3 linked regions of the Arabidopsis thaliana genome follow. The protein of the gene in region 3 interacts with the protein of the main gene of each other region in a pairwise test. Each region holds a gene or a part of one and is shown on either strand. Other genes may lie near its edges.

The links. Proteins that work in one complex are often made in the same cells at the same time.
Region 1: the proteins of NIMIN-3 (region 3) and MYR1 interact in binary tests that used the Arabidopsis thaliana proteins (3 or more experiments, as listed by UniProt).
Region 2: the proteins of NIMIN-3 (region 3) and TCP16 interact in binary tests that used the Arabidopsis thaliana proteins (3 or more experiments, as listed by UniProt).

Annotation. Positions count from the first base shown.
Region 1 is NC_003076.8:6,027,116-6,032,746, reverse strand, and holds MYR1 (myb-related protein 1), read left to right. Parts: upstream 1-1,944; 5' UTR 1,945-2,083; intron 2,084-2,150; exon of another isoform or gene 2,151-2,165; 5' UTR 2,166-2,173; coding exon 2,174-2,381; exon of another isoform or gene 2,382-2,469; coding exon 2,470-2,546; exon of another isoform or gene 2,547-2,731; coding exon 2,732-2,789; exon of another isoform or gene 2,790-2,895; coding exon 2,896-2,980; exon of another isoform or gene 2,981-3,054; coding exon 3,055-3,124; exon of another isoform or gene 3,125-3,419; coding exon 3,420-4,130; 3' UTR 4,131-4,462; downstream 4,463-5,631. UniProt on the Arabidopsis thaliana protein: Transcription factor that may act on the GAL1 promoter. Acts redundantly with MYR2 as a repressor of flowering and organ elongation under decreased light intensity. Represses gibberellic acid (GA)-dependent responses and affects levels of bioactive GA.
Region 2 is NC_003074.8:16,529,457-16,532,845, forward strand, and holds TCP16 (TCP domain protein 16), read left to right. Parts: upstream 1-1,722; coding exon 1,723-2,220; downstream 2,221-3,389. UniProt on the Arabidopsis thaliana protein: Required during early processes in pollen development.
Region 3 is NC_003070.9:3,035,249-3,042,123, reverse strand, and holds NIMIN-3 (NIM1-interacting 3), read left to right. Parts: upstream 1-3,715; 5' UTR 3,716-3,875; coding exon 3,876-4,214; 3' UTR 4,215-4,370; downstream 4,371-6,875. Other genes in the region: G6PD4 (glucose-6-phosphate dehydrogenase 4), read left to right, coding at 409-510, 745-949, 1,036-1,283, 1,381-1,475, 1,560-1,674, 1,806-2,011, 2,092-2,200, 2,300-2,334 and 4 more; AT1G09410 (pentatricopeptide (PPR) repeat-containing protein), read right to left, coding at 4,564-6,681.

The sequences.
Region 1 (5,631 bases), on a different chromosome or scaffold from region 3:
TAAACAAGAACAAGAATCTGTCAAAGGGAAATGAACGTACAAGGAAGAACATTTTGTCTGTATCACTCTTTTCTTTCACTGAAGAAGGGGAAAGACTACATAATTAAGCACAAACTAGTATAACAATTGTGACCAAGATAACATATCGTTTAAGCTCTAGTTCTGAAGAAAAACACAGTAGTCCAAAATCTGGAACAGAACCTGCTACAAAAAGCATACACAAAATTTGATCTTTTCTGAAACTACATTTGATATAGAACAGAGGATTATCTATCTGACAAAAGAGAAGCCAATCAAAAGAGTTCAACATAAATTGTTTGCTTCGTCTAATTTACTTTTGATGGTATACAAATAGAGTTTTCAAACTTGCAGCACACAATATGAAGCCTCTCTTTGTGGAAGCATATTCCCACTCACATGCCAATCAACTATTTAGGCAATATGCTCAAATACTTTTAACTGAAGGTTATGAAAAAGGTTCTTCACCAAACAGAATAAAGTGTTAATGAGAAATCAGAACCATGAGATTTCACCAAAAAAAGATTGAAAAATGCAAAGATATCATTCAAGGAACATAAGATTTGTTTTTTTGACATTTTCCTTTCAAACAATAGACCATATTTCTACCTAGTTTTTTTTTTTAAGGCACCTATCAAACTCATTAAGATATGTGAGACTCTATACTAGATAGTGGATATATTCTCAATTGCACATAGAGAAGCCATAATTTCAGCATTTGGCAATCACGACTTGTATATTTATATATCTTTATCTCTCAACTTATTCTATATAGCTGTATATCATATAGGAGAGTATCTCTACACTTAATCAGTCAGTAGAAATATAATAGTGAAGTCCAAATCAAACTCGCATCCAACACCATAATATGAATGATGATAAAATTTAGAGCCGTACTCACCACTAAAGTAGATTCAAGGAAGTACACTGTAAGAAACCAGCCAAACATTAGATGCATATATGCTTCACGAACTTATACATATATACATGTAAATATGTACATGTATGCACACATAAACACACAAACAATACATACAAATATGCACTGAAGACATGTTATGTTGCATTCAGAACAGACAGGAAAGGTTACACACATACATAGATTAACACATGCATGGATGAGCCAAATATGTTGTGCCAATCAAAGAGTGTAAGATATGGACCCCCCACTAATTTTTATACTATTTAGAGAGAATAGGTACTAAACTTGTTGAAGGAGACAGCAAGAAATATTCTACATTCGCTTTCTCAATTATCTTTCAAGAAAAATCAATGTTGAAACATAAACTTTCACCCCCCTTGCATTATGCATATCACAAACCTGGGTATTCTACGCTATATAATAATACAAACATAATCACTATATTTTCTTGAAACATGGCCAAATAAACCATTATTGATTTTGGTCAAAACCTAACTTAAAGTTTTAATAGATTTAAGATGTATGTAGAGACTGAAAAAATGACTTTCAAGTCGGAACAAAAACAATACAGACAAGTGGAAAGCATTGAGAATATACCTCAAGAGATAGAGAGGTTGGAGCTGTGGACTTTGAAAAAATTGAGGAATAAGGAAAAAGAATGAATTCCCCTGCCCAAGTAGAAAAGTTGTCAAAAAGATTTGGAGAATAAGATACTTTCATATACCAGAATGGTGAAGGAATGCGCATATGATGCATTAATTGTGGATCAATTCTCGTATCTAATGCAAGGCTTTAATTGCACTGAAAAGTTGTAGTCCAGAGGAATCAAAACTAGAAAAAATAATGTAAGCACACAAGGTACAGTTTAAACGATAAGAACACAAATAACAAAGCAACGATTGGACCAGTTATTCATATTCCATACCTTAGTTATCATCCTCTAATTTGCCTTTTTGCCATTCAACTTTCTATATAAAGCAAAGTTGCAAAGACTTTTTACTCTTGAGAGACCCCGGCCTGAGAAAAAGAGCATAAATAAGGAAAGCAGCAAAGACATCTTCCCAAGTTGGTGGAGTTGCAAACCATAGTGTATCTCTGAACTGAGAGTAGCAGGTTGCAATTAAAAACTAAAGATTGTGTCAGGTAAAAGAAAAACATTTGGTCTTTGCACTCATTATTAATGCAGTATTGCTAGGTGGGATAAGCTTACCTTTTTATTTTGAAGACAGACTTATGTATTACCACAACCAGCACCAAGGAAAGAGCATCCTCTCTTCATCGAGAATGCCCATTTCTTCTGAAAGGCATCCGTTCCTCAGAGGAAATGGCACAGGAGATTCTGGACTCATTCTCTCCACTGATGCAAAGCCACGACTAAAATGGACTCCAGATCTTCACGAGAGATTTGTTGAAGCGGTCAACCAGCTTGGAGGAGGAGATAGTAAGTTATCTTATAAGCAAATGAACCATCTTTTACAATCAGGCTTTTTGAACATAATGTATTAATGTGTATACTTTTGTCTGCGCAGAGGCTACTCCTAAGACAATCATGAAAGTCATGGGCATTCCAGGCCTTACCTTATACCATCTCAAGAGTCATCTTCAGGTAATCCATCAACACTTTATACAGTCATATGCCCAAGGCCCTAAACTTACATGACTCGTTCATCAATTCGATTGGTAGAAAACTATTAAAGTAGCACAAAAATGACGATATGTCAAGATATGAAAAATCTGTAATATCTGTTTTTTGTTTTACAAAGATTATTAATATCATGATTTGACTACCAGAAATATAGGCTAAGCAAGAATCTTAATGGACAAGCTAACAGCAGTTTAAACAAGACAAGTAAGCTTAGTTATTCATTACTCAGATACAAAAATATTTTAATCTAAAGATTCATTCTTTTTTCATACTATTTTCCTTCAAGTAAACTAAAAGCAACCTGGTTTAGGTGTGATGACCATGGTAGAAGAAAACCCCCCTGAAGTAGACGAAAGTCACAGTGAGAGTTTAAGCATTGGACCACAGCCGAGCATGTAAGGATATGCCTATTTGCTTACATATTCTACCTTAGTAGATTCTCAAAAATGACCTATATTTGTGCACGCAGGAACTTACCCATAAGTGATGCCCTTCAAATGCAAATAGAGGTCCAGAGACGGCTACACGAGCAACTTGAGGTATCTATCATATACTGTACTCTGTGCATTCACCATGTTCAAAGCAGCTATCAGTGTTGGAATTTTCGGTTCCTATATTTGTTCTAACAAGACCAATCAAGATGAGTCTGGTTTCATTAATTCTCATGGAAAAAAATAGGAACAATTTACAGAACTATACTCAAAATTGTAGAAACACATAGATCAGTGAAAATCATAAGTATAGAGTATCAATAGAGGCGAGATGAACTATATAGAAACAGAGAACAGAGCATTTAGTTACGATTTCATTAAAAATATTTTAAAACTGAGCCAGGTACAGCGACATTTGCAGCTCAGGATAGAGGCTCAAGGAAAGTACCTGCAATCGATTCTGGAGAAAGCACAAGAGACTCTTGGAAGACAGAACCTAGGTGCAGCTGGGATTGAAGCAACAAAAGCTCAACTCTCAGAATTAGTATCTAAAGTATCAGCAGACTATCCAGACTCTAGTTTCCTCGAACCGAAAGAACTGCAGAATCTACACCATCAACAGATGCAAAAAACGTATCCACCTAACTCCTCCCTGGACAGTTGCCTAACCTCAAGTGAAGGAACTCAGAAAGCCCCAAAGATGCTTGACAACAGACTGGGATTAAGAACATATATTGGAGATTCAACTTCAGAGCAGAAAGAGATAATGGAAGAGCCATTCTTCCATAGAATGGAGCTCACATGGGCAGAAGAAGAAAGCCTCAGAGAGAATCACAACAGGCCATATCTTTCAACAATGGTTAACAACGCAGAACCGAGAATCTCGTCTTCAAGAAGAAGTCCTGGAAGATTGTCAATAGGAGTGGGATTACATGAACACAGAGGAAGGAGTAGCAACAACAGTGAGTATACAGAAGAAAGATTCAACGAGAATAATGAAGATTGCAAGCTTGAAACACACACAAGAACAGCTCTAGATCTTAACACACACGACGAAAACTATGGCACAACGCGTCCTAAACAGTTTGATTTAAATGGTTTCAGCTGGAATTGAGAAGAACAAATAAGCTTTAGAAGAGTGCAACAACCTTTTTATGATAATCACACAGGAAATGAAAAGCCTTTGATTTCCTTTGTTAGCTTGAGGGATTCGTCTAAAAATTGAATTATTAGTCGAACTCAAAAGAGACATCTTGTGCAACAATGTACAACACTATTAATTTGCGTAGTTATGATCTCATCATATAAATACAGATAAATTTACTAACTTCATGGAAGATACTGAAATTCTTGAGAGAAGGACGTAAAGCTCCGTGCTTTTTAACAAAGCAAGAACATACCCATAGATGTGTAAGCATTCACAACGTTGCAAATCGAAGAAAAACCGGAAAGTGAGAAACGAATGGCCCCGTCGAACGACGAGAGATTGGGGATTGTCCGACGCCTTTTTTCAAACCGGGTCGGTTCGCATAGATCTGGGTCGGGTTAAACTGGTTTTATCCGAATTCGGGCAAGAGGACCCCATCTGTTACCTCAAAGAGTGACAATGTCATGTTTCGTCCCTGAAATTTTAGTAGGCGCTTATTTTCACCCATTATAGTTTTCTTTGGACCACTTAACCAAACATTGCAATTTTGTTTATTTTATCGTTAAATACACATCTCAAATTTTTTTTTCTTTTTTTTTTATAGAAAAAAACTTTTGATTTCATATAATTAAGTTTAATACTGTAGAAAAAAACAAAAAAAAACCATTAAACTAATTAATTACAATCTACTGATAAATTTTTAAAGTAAAAATATAATCGTTTTATTTTATATGAATGAAAAATAGTCGGTTAACTACATTTGCGTGTACTAAAATGCTGATAAATTTATATAAAATTAAAATATATCTCGTATATATTTATAATGTATGACATACATATAGGTGATATATCTAATTTCAGTAAAATAAGTCAAACTGTTATATATTAATAAGGTATATTTAAGTTTAGATTTACTAAACGATGTCAACATATAAAAATCATTGAGTACGAGATTTTAAATTTATTTTTCTATAAAAATAAAAAAAAACTTTAACAAATAATAATATAAAGTATATTTAATTTGTCCGGTATAAAATTACCGTTATAATAAAAAATAACCAGAATGCGTCTCGCGCCATAAATTCAAATATTCTTTAAATTGTTTTACATTACTTTCCATTTTTGTGTTTTCTTTTTATACTTGAAATATCTACTTCAATAACTTTAATTTAATTTTGATAACCAAATTATTATAGACCTTCACATTTGGGAAAAAGGAGTAAAAATAGGGGGTAAGAATCAGAAAGTAGTAAAAGTATGAGGGGCAAATCGGCGAATAAAAAGCCCGGTAACTCTTTTACTATGGGCCGTCAATGTCAAACTCGAAACTCTCGTTCTGATTTCTGTAATCAAATCCACAAAAGATCCAATCAAAATTCATTCACCCATCATCGTTAGTTACACATCATCGTCTTCTTCCTCTCGCTCCCTCTGATAGCGAAACCCTAAAATACTCTCAGCTGCTACT
Region 2 (3,389 bases), on a different chromosome or scaffold from region 3:
CATTTACACAGTACCTCGGTAAGTGTTTGAGGGTTAAATATTTGTTGAATTTTTAACATCACACTAATTTAGAGTATAATCTAAATTATAAGGTATACGTATGAAATCATAGCTCAATGATGATAGAATTCGTTAATTATTCTCGTAAAAGTGAATATTTGATTTAAAATGAGTCAAAATATATTTGATTTGACGAATTCTAAAAGTGTTCCGCTTGAGTTATAGAAACATGCTCAAAATGATGGTGATGACTTTTTTTTAGTTCTTTATTTGAAAAGTCAGTTTGGAAATGAAAACAGTAAGGCTGACCAAACAATATACAGTATGTTATCCAACTCTTATCCGTTTTAAGAAAACAAAGTATGTGTAAGAGTCGGGTAATATGATATCAGGTTATTTCTAAACCATCTGTCTTGTAACCCATCATTTTACTTGGATATATTTTCTTACATACAAATAATTTATTATAATAGTTTAGACATGTCAATTGGACTAGTCCAGTCTGACAAAGTCCAGAAAATTCGAATATATTTTATTTAGTCTGGTTCGGTTAGTAAAAATTTTGAAATAAAAAAATTTGAACTTATATTTCAAGATCTGGTAATAACAGGGACAAGACTTTTCCAGGTTTTTTATGTTTTTCTTTCCAGAAAAAAACAAATTTATAATTTATAATATTTCTGAAAGATGGATATATGAACAAAACAAATCAGTTGAAATTTAAATAACCATGAAAGCCAGTTTATTTTCAAAAAAAAAGGTTTAAAATCAAAAAAAATAATCTAATTTTTTTATTTAAACTCATAACAAATAAAATATAAAATCAGAAGATTTTAATCTAGACAGTCGAGCCAAGATTTGTTTTTTAGATTTATAGTAAGGCACAATTGAAAAACTAGGTTTAGGGTTTTCAATACTATTAAAAAAAACAAAAACAAATATTCCAATTAAAGAAAAATATTAACAAAAGAAAAGTAAAAAAAAAAATTAAAATTTTTTTAGGCCGGCTTGAATCTGGTGGGATTAAGCCTCAAAAACTTTTTATCCCGAATGGGTTAGCTTAAGGGAATTTTCTGGATATATATTTTTAAGTCTGAATCTCTATTTTCAGAATTGATAGTCCGGGGAATTTGACCCTAAATGAAATATAGTTTGATAAATAAACAAATAGACAATATCTGAAGAACAAATTAACCGTCCAAAAAAAAATATGCGAACTCCTATCCAAACACCTAGTTTAAAAATAACAATATAATATTTTAAATAACAATGTTGGAATATCATTAATTTCTAAGGAAAAAAACTAAAACCTTAACTTTAAAAAAATTAAAATAGGATAAAATAGGACTATACTTGTACAGTTGTATCAGTAAATAATAATTTCTGTAAACTGCCAGAAGAAAGGTTTATTTTCCTTTTTTTAGTGGACCTATCAATTAATTATTCCAATATAACTTCTTTTTTTCAGGTCCACTAAATATATTTTCTATACTACATATTATATTACATGATAATATTTCATTCTCAAATATACCTATATAAATTTAAGATTTCTTCTATTTACCAATTAGTTTAATTATTAGTTTGTTACACCATTATTGTTTTCCATACATAACATAAATAGAAATAGAGTTTTCTGTAACGTTTCTATATAATCCAAGTGAAACAAACATATTTTCCACTTCCATTTACAAAAGAAAAAGAAAAAAAAAACAGAGAAAAATGGATTCGAAAAATGGAATTAACAACAGCCAAAAGGCAAGAAGGACTCCAAAAGACCGCCATTTGAAAATTGGTGGCCGTGATCGTCGCATTCGGATCCCGCCGAGTGTTGCTCCCCAACTATTTAGATTGACAAAAGAACTCGGCTTTAAAACCGATGGTGAAACTGTCAGTTGGCTCCTCCAGAATGCCGAGCCTGCCATTTTCGCAGCCACGGGACATGGTGTCACCACCACCTCCAATGAAGATATCCAGCCAAATAGGAATTTTCCTAGTTACACCTTTAATGGTGATAATATTAGTAATAACGTTTTCCCTTGTACGGTTGTAAATACTGGTCATCGTCAGATGGTGTTTCCGGTTTCTACAATGACAGATCATGCACCTTCAACTAATTACAGTACTATTAGTGATAATTACAATTCCACCTTTAATGGTAATGCTACCGCCAGTGATACAACATCAGCAGCAACAACAACAGCCACAACCACAGTTTGAGCTTGTGAAGGAGGAGACGGCGTCGCTGAGAAGGCCAATTTGGAGTCTTTAAAATAAATATTGGAGATTTAAGAGTGTTCAGTTCTGGACGTTTTAGTTCGTTTCTGTTTGCTTTTTCTTTCCTCTTCATGTTTTTCAGTTTGAGAGTTGAACTAGGGTTTGTTTTAGTTCGATCGGTATCCATTTGTCTTTTTTTCTTGTATGCTCATGTTTTTTTAAGATGAATAATAATACCTAAAATTAATTATAGATGTAATTTAAAACTGTTTGTCCATGTTTGAAGTTTAGTAGAGAATTTGATTTCAACAATGGATTAAATTAAACTCTTCACAACAAATTTGATTCATTTTTTCTTTTTTGGACACGAACAATTTCGTTGGTATTCTAGAATAAATAATTCTGTCATAATATTTACCGAAACATAACTTTTATGTACAGTTATTTATTTCCGTTTTCTAATTTGTCAAAATTCGTTTGTCTTTCGAACCTAAAGGTTCCAACGGTTATGAAAACATTAATTAAAAACGGATATCAAAAACTATAATATAAATAAATTAAAGAGATAATAAAAGGAACAATTGAGTAAGAATGTGGTTTTATATCTGTTAAAGAAATTTCCAGCTCACACTTAGCTGGACAATAATTATTTAAGATTTGTTTCTGTATTTAGCTTCATACATCTATTTTAATATTTCTTAATACACAGATATATATTTTAATATATATATATATATATTATTTTCAAGATTCTCAAGGAAAAAAAAAGAAAAAAAAAAGGAAGGAAAACTAAATCTAAAGAATAAGAAACTAATTTTTGTGTAAATAAAAATTACTTTAATAAACTTTTAATAGTTTTCCCTTAAATTCTTTTACTTTATAGATTGGTTAATATGTATTTAGAGAAAAATACTATTTAACCTTTATTTAGATTAAAAAAAAAAACTTGAGTAAGAAAATGGTTTAAAATTCTTAAAGAAAATTCCAGCTCACTTTAAGCTAGAAAAAGAGATTATATAGTTTATAGTATAAAAATAAATTTAATCATACCATGTTTAATAAAATTTGAAGAAAAACTTATTTTCTTTTTCCATGAATAACAAGATTTTTCTTAACAATTAAAATTTCTTTTAGCAACATATATTAATACTTTAGTTTTCTGTTTTTTTGTT
Region 3 (6,875 bases):
CAGTGATCGTCCTCAACACTAAACCACGGAAAGTGTTTCTCCGCCTGAAGTAGCTGAGAAGAAAAGGTGACAATTTTCGAGACGATAAGATCGATGAAGTTGAGAAGAAGATGATCTCACCAACTCAACGATGACGCCGACTCGGCGGGACCAGAAGAGACGTTGACGTTGAGATATCGAAAGTCAACCTACCCACCCCCGCCTAAACCACAAATTCAATTCTCTTTCCTCGAGAACCAACCGGTACGGTTCGGTTTAGAAGAACCCGACGATTATCTGAAAGTTGGAACCATTAATGGAGGCGTCAATCAGAAAACTTAAACTTGCACTCGTCTTCCACTTTGATCCACTTAAAGCAGCTTTAAAGCTTTGAACATGTTTAGCTATAATCCCTGAGGAACTATCCTCATGTCTCTCTCCAGTTGCTTGCTTCCCTTTTCTCAATCAGCGACGGCTCCGTCTTCCTCCGTCTGCTCTTGCCATCTCGCCGCCTCTTTTTCTAATTTTCCGGTAAGCACATGTATTCGCTCTACCTTTCATGCATGCTTTCGTTTTATCAAAAGGTCATTACTTTGAGAAACAAAGATTATTATTTTTCTTGGATTATGCTAATGTTTTCTGCAATCTCACCAAAGATCTCAAATTCGTGTTACATGCCCTCTGAATCTAAGCTTTAGTATATTATTGACCTTCGAAATCAACTTGATTTCTAGTTGTTGAAATTTCTCTATTTTGTGTGAATAGGTTTCGTCAAGAGACTATAGTTTCTCCAGAAGTGGAAGCCTTGTTCTCAACGGAGGAGGCTCGAATCTCTGCCGGAGATTCTGTGGTTTGAAACTGTGGATACTTAAGAGCTTGAATCGTAGACAAGGCAACAACAGAAAACATCAGCCTGTAAACGAGCTTACAACACACTCAAAGCACACTTTCCTCAGCGATGATGAACGAGGTCTAGTTCTAAGATATGAGTCAATTTACATCTCATGTCTTCACTTGATCATTCTTTAGCACTTCCTGAGGTAGAATGTGATGCAGGTTTTGCTGAAGAAACTAGAGCTGAAGATTTACGACCAGAAGAGAATATTCTGGGAACGGATTTGAATGATGGGTTTCACAATGTTGGAGACTTACCACCTGTGTCAAAACAACTCTCGGATGATCTTTCAGATGTTCGAAGAAGGGCCTCACTTTGCATTGCTGTTGTAGGAGCCACTGGTGAGCTAGCAAGAGGGAAGATTTTCCCGGCATTGTTTGCGTTGTATTATAGCGGCTACCTTCCTGAGGTATGACTTTTGTGCTCATGAACAATTACAAAGTAAGCAGCAAAACAGTTGGATAGTTTTTTTCGGTTGTCTTCTTGATTGGTCTTCATTGTCACAGGATGTTGCTATATTTGGGGTTTCAAGAAAGAATCTGACAGATGAAGACCTCAGATCCATCATTGCATCAACGCTGACTTGCCGTGTTGATCATCAGTATGTATAATTCTTGGTACTACCTTAAATTTGGTATCTCTGATATACGGCCGTGCTAGCTAAAGAATGATGCTAAATGTTCAGGGAGAATTGTGGGGGCAAGATGGATGCATTTCAGAGTAGAACATACTATATCAATGGAGGTTATAATAACAGGGATGGGATGTCCCGACTTGCCGAGAGAATGAAACAGATTGAGGTTCCTAAGTACCTTTTTTTCTTTCTTTCAATGATTACATTTTGTCCCAGAAGTAGTCCTCTTTCTGAGTTTACAACATTTTGAACAGACAAGCAAGATAGAATAAGACATTAACAGCTTTTCTTCTTCAGGGAGAATCAGAAGCAAATAGAATCTTTTACCTCTCAGTACCTCAAGAAGCTCTGGTGGATGTGGCATGCACCATTGGAGATAACGCTCAGGCACCACGAGGCTGGACTCGAATAATAGTTGAGAAACCTTTTGGTTTTAACTCACATTCGTCTCATCAGTTAACAAAGTCACTTCTCTCTAAGTTTGAAGAGAAGCAAATCTACAGGTCCTTCTTTTAAATCTAGTTGCTTTCTGCATGCACAGCTCTCAAGTTCATATTTCTTCACACTTCTGTGCCCGTTACAGGATAGATCACATGTTAGGAAGAAACCTCATTGAAAATCTGACAGTGTTAAGGTTTTCAAATCTAGTTTTTGAACCACTATGGAACAGAACATACATACGCAATATACAGGTAGTGTTTCCTTCTGATTGTTTGTAGTTGTGTATAGTGCCTGAACTTTCCTCTTCCACATTCTGGTTTGTTCACTTTGTGTATAAATGATGTTTCCAGGTTATTATATCAGAATCAATTGCGCAAACAGAAAAGTAAGGCACAATAGTTCTATTTTCACCATTTCTTTGCATGTGAGAGTAAATTGTGTTGTTTCAGCATTCTTAGACAAATCAGTAATGTTATTTTCTAATTTCCTACTGCTTTTTTTAAGGTTTTCTGATGGATATGGAATAATACGGGACATAGTGCACAGCCATATACTTCAGACAATCGCATTACTTGCCATGGAACCTCCGATAAGTCTCGATGGTGAAGATATCCGAAATGAAAAGGTCAACCTGTACTGTAAAGAACAAAATCGTCTTATGGTATATATGTAAGTTGTGTACTCTTGTTCTGTCAAGTGACTTGGTGACAAACCTGCTTCTGCAGGTGAAGGTTTTAAGATCAATTCGCAAGATAGACCCGCGTGATGTCATCCTTGGCCAGTATAAATCCAGTTCCCGAGACAAGAACGGTGTGATCTTGAACGGTGTAGACCCTACATATTGTGCAGCAGCCTTGTATATTGATAATGCACGTTGGGATGGTGTACCTTTCCTTGTAAGAGTTGGCACTGGCCTCATTAAACACAGGTAAGAATAATTATTCCTACTCATAGACATATCCAACTGTCATAACAATTGATTGGTGTGCCTTAATGTTGAAAGAGTGGAGATTCATGTGCAATTCCGGCATGTTCCTGGAAACCTATACCGAGAAAATATTGGAATAAACATAGATTTGGGGACAAATGAGCTTATTCTACGTGACGAACCTGATGAGGCCATCCTGGTGAAAATCAACAACAAGGTTCCTGGTTTAGGTCTTCAGCTAGACGCTTCTGAACTTAACTTGCTCTATAAAGACAGGCAAGTTTTGCATTCTCATCTTTGTTCCTACACATTTTAAAAATCGAACTTTTGCGCCTTATGGTTGGTTGAATTGTTGGATCAAACCTGTAGGTATAAAACCGAAGTACCAGACTCATATGAACACCTAATTCATGATGTAATTGACGGAGACAATCATCTGTTCATGAGAAGCGATGAGGTTGCAGCAGCATGGAACATTCTTAGTCCGGTTCTAGAAGAGATAGACAAGCATCACACAGCTCCGGAGTTGTATGAATTTGGTGGACGAGGACCAGTTGCGGCATACTATCTTTGGGCCAAGCACGGTGTCCCATGGGCAGATGACTGAAGAAGAAACATAGATGCAGCAACAAACAAATGAGAGTGATTCTGAATGGTTATTGTGAAGTGTGTTTGTTTAGCTTGAAGCTGTGCCATTCCCTGTAGACTGTACATATGTACACATGTATGTCATGTTGCTATATGAATGTCCATCATGGTGGGGTCCATAATAGTGTTGAAAAGTCTCCAAAGCCACCCAAAGGAAAGAAGAAAGTCTGAGAGACTTTTAGATAAGGTCATGTTGTTAGTCTTCCCACTAGAGGCAATAATTATATCTTCTCCACCAATTCCTCCAGAAAATTCTTCCAGATGTATCATGTGTTGATGATCAAAGTAGGATGAAAATGATGTAACTAAAGAGAAACATTTTCATAGGGGAAGGAAGAGAGAGCGGTTCAATGGACAGAGACAGAAAGAGGGTGAAAATGGAGAAGGAAGATGACGAAGAAGAAAAGATGGAGAAGTTGTACACAGTGCTTAAAAACGCAAGGGAAATGCGGAAATATGTCAACAGCTCCATGGAGAAGAAGAGACAGGAAGAAGAAGAAAGAGCAAGGGTTCGTAGATTCCCTTCGTTTCAGCCAGAAGATTTCATTTTCATGAATAAAGCAGAGGCCAACAACATTGAAAAAGCAGCTAATGAGAGCTCTTCAGCATCCAACGAGTATGATGGCTCTAAGGAAAAGCAAGAAGGATCTGAGACTAACGTTTGTTTAGACTTGAATCTTTCTCTGTAGCATACATACATACAAGAGACAAAGAGCTCTTCAGTTTCTGTATAAGCAACAAAGAATGTTAGTAACTACGTACCAAAAACAAATGTGTCATGGAATTCTAGTTTTGCTTGAAGATTGTTCATCACTTCTTATTAACCATATTGAAGAAAATGCTACAAATGCACATTGATAACAAGATCAGTAAAAAAATATATATATATTAGCAGAAGAACTTAGAGAGAACTCTCATCAATGGCTGAGCAAGTTCCTATGGTTTGCGAGAATTACTCCATTTTGCCAACGCTCCAACGAGGATTGATAGCTAAGCCTAAGATTAAAAAAAAACATTCTGCTTGGCATTTATTGAATCTCACCAGTAATCTTTACAGGAACACTCTCCGTTTCTGAAGTGATGGAATCTGTTTGCATCTCTTAGAATGATCTCCCTCTCTTTCACCTTAGAGATTATTTTTATTGCTGTGTGGCAATCACTACAAACTCTAAGGTTCTTCATGACTCGGATGGGTATTCCTTCAGATAGCTTTAAAAGAGCATAAGCTACCGCTAGTCTCTCGCTATGATATTTCAGGCTATTGACTTTCTCTTCCTCGTCTACATCGTGCAATGCATAGCTGCAATCAGGATTATACCCGGCTTCTCTCAATAACCCATCCAATTCATCCAGTATCTTCAAAATAGATTCCTGCTCGGGATGGCTATTAATACCCCCACGAGTGAATGCATGCACCTTGTTCTCGACTTCAGTCCAGCTACAACCTGGTGATTTTCTTACCAACCTAGTCTTCATAAGTTTTCTCAGTTCTGCAACGTCAGCCCACCTACCTTGAGATGCATACATGTTGGAGAGCAAGATGTAAGTCCCAGAATTCTCCGGTTCAATCTCTATGAGTTTCTTCGCACAAAATTCTGCCACATCCAGCTGCGAGTGAGTTCTGCACGCTCCTAATAGAGAACCCCAAACTGCAGCATCTGGTTCGACAGTCATACTATCAATCATTTCCATTGCCTCATTAAACCGTCCTGCACGCCCAAGCATATCTACCATGCAAGCATAATGCGCGGTGATTGGCTTAACCCCAAAAACTGATTCCATAGATTCATAGATCTTAAGCCCTTCCTCAACCATCCCAGCGTAACTACATGCTGAGAGAGTTGCAACGAAGGTGACTTCGTTAGGCTTAGTACTACCAGACAAAGGCATCTCACAGAAAACCTTTAATGCTTCCTCTCCAAGACCGTGTGAGGCATAACCAGATATGATTGAATTCCACATGATAATGTCCTTTGAAGGAAACCTGTCAAATATTAGTTTAGACTTCACAAGCTCGCCGCATTTAATGTACATTGTCATTAAAACAGACGCAACATACACATCAACATCAAATTGACATCTAACCAACTGAGCATGGACCTGTTTACCATGGTGGAGGCTTGCTAAGCTGGCGCAGACCGAAAGAATGCTTATCAATGTTGGAAAAGTGGGTCTAACTCCCTGTTTCTGCATCAGAATAAATAAATCAAGAGCCTCCAATTCAAAACCGTTTCTTTCGTGAATTTTGATCACCGTTTGCCAAGATGCATCATTTCTCTCCTTCATTGAATCAAAAACCCTTCTTGCTTTTGCTATCTCTCCTTTCTGTCCAAGCCCGGAAATCATAGCATTACACGCAATAACTGGCTTCACTGGCATAACTTCAAAAAGTTCTTCAGCATCCTCAATTCGCCCATTCTGTACATAGCCCATAAGCATGGAAGTCCATGAAACTTCAGTTTTCTCTGGCATCACATCAAAAATCTTCCTAGCATCATCCACACGATTGTTCTGCCCATATCCTGTGACCATTGTAGTCCAAGTAATCACACTTCTCTCTGACATCTCATCAAAAATCTCTCTTGCCTCATCCACTCTTCCTTCTTTGCACAATCCATGAATCATACTAGTCCTTGCAATATTATCTTTATCCGGTATCATTTCATACAGCTTACACGCATCATCGATTCGCCCATCTTGCAAAAACCCAATAAGCATCACAGTCCAAGAAACCTTATTCTTCTCAGGCATTTTCCAAAACAACGACTCTGCCACATCAACCTTACCATTGTGCACATACCCTTTCACCAACGCCGTCCATGAGACAACATTCCTCTCAGGCATTAAATCAAACACTTTCCTAGCTTCGTCAATCTCCCCGTTCTTCATATACCCGGACACCAAACCATTCCAAGAGATGATGTTTCTGTCAGGCATTTCATCGAACAGTTTCCGTGCATCTCGGGGCATTAGATTCGCAAAGTACCCAGCAACCATAGAGTTCCAGGAAGAGATTGATTTCGAGTCACATGAATCGAAAAGCTTCCGAGCTTCATGAATCTTGCCGATACGAGAGAGATGAGTGATTCTAACATTTGCTGTGGGAGGAGGGATGGTTGTGCTATACGTTCGACGTAGGAGTATCTGTGACTTCATACTCAGAGTACTACCTAGCTCTGAGTGATGAACCTTTAACTTGCAGAACAAGAGTTACAACAAAAACAAAAACCTAAAGAGGAAACCTTTATCAAAAAGAGATTTAACTAAAAAGTAAAAAACAAATCTTGTAGGACAAGGAACGATTTACGGTCTAGAAATACATTTCTATAGCCCAATTGTAGTTTTCTATA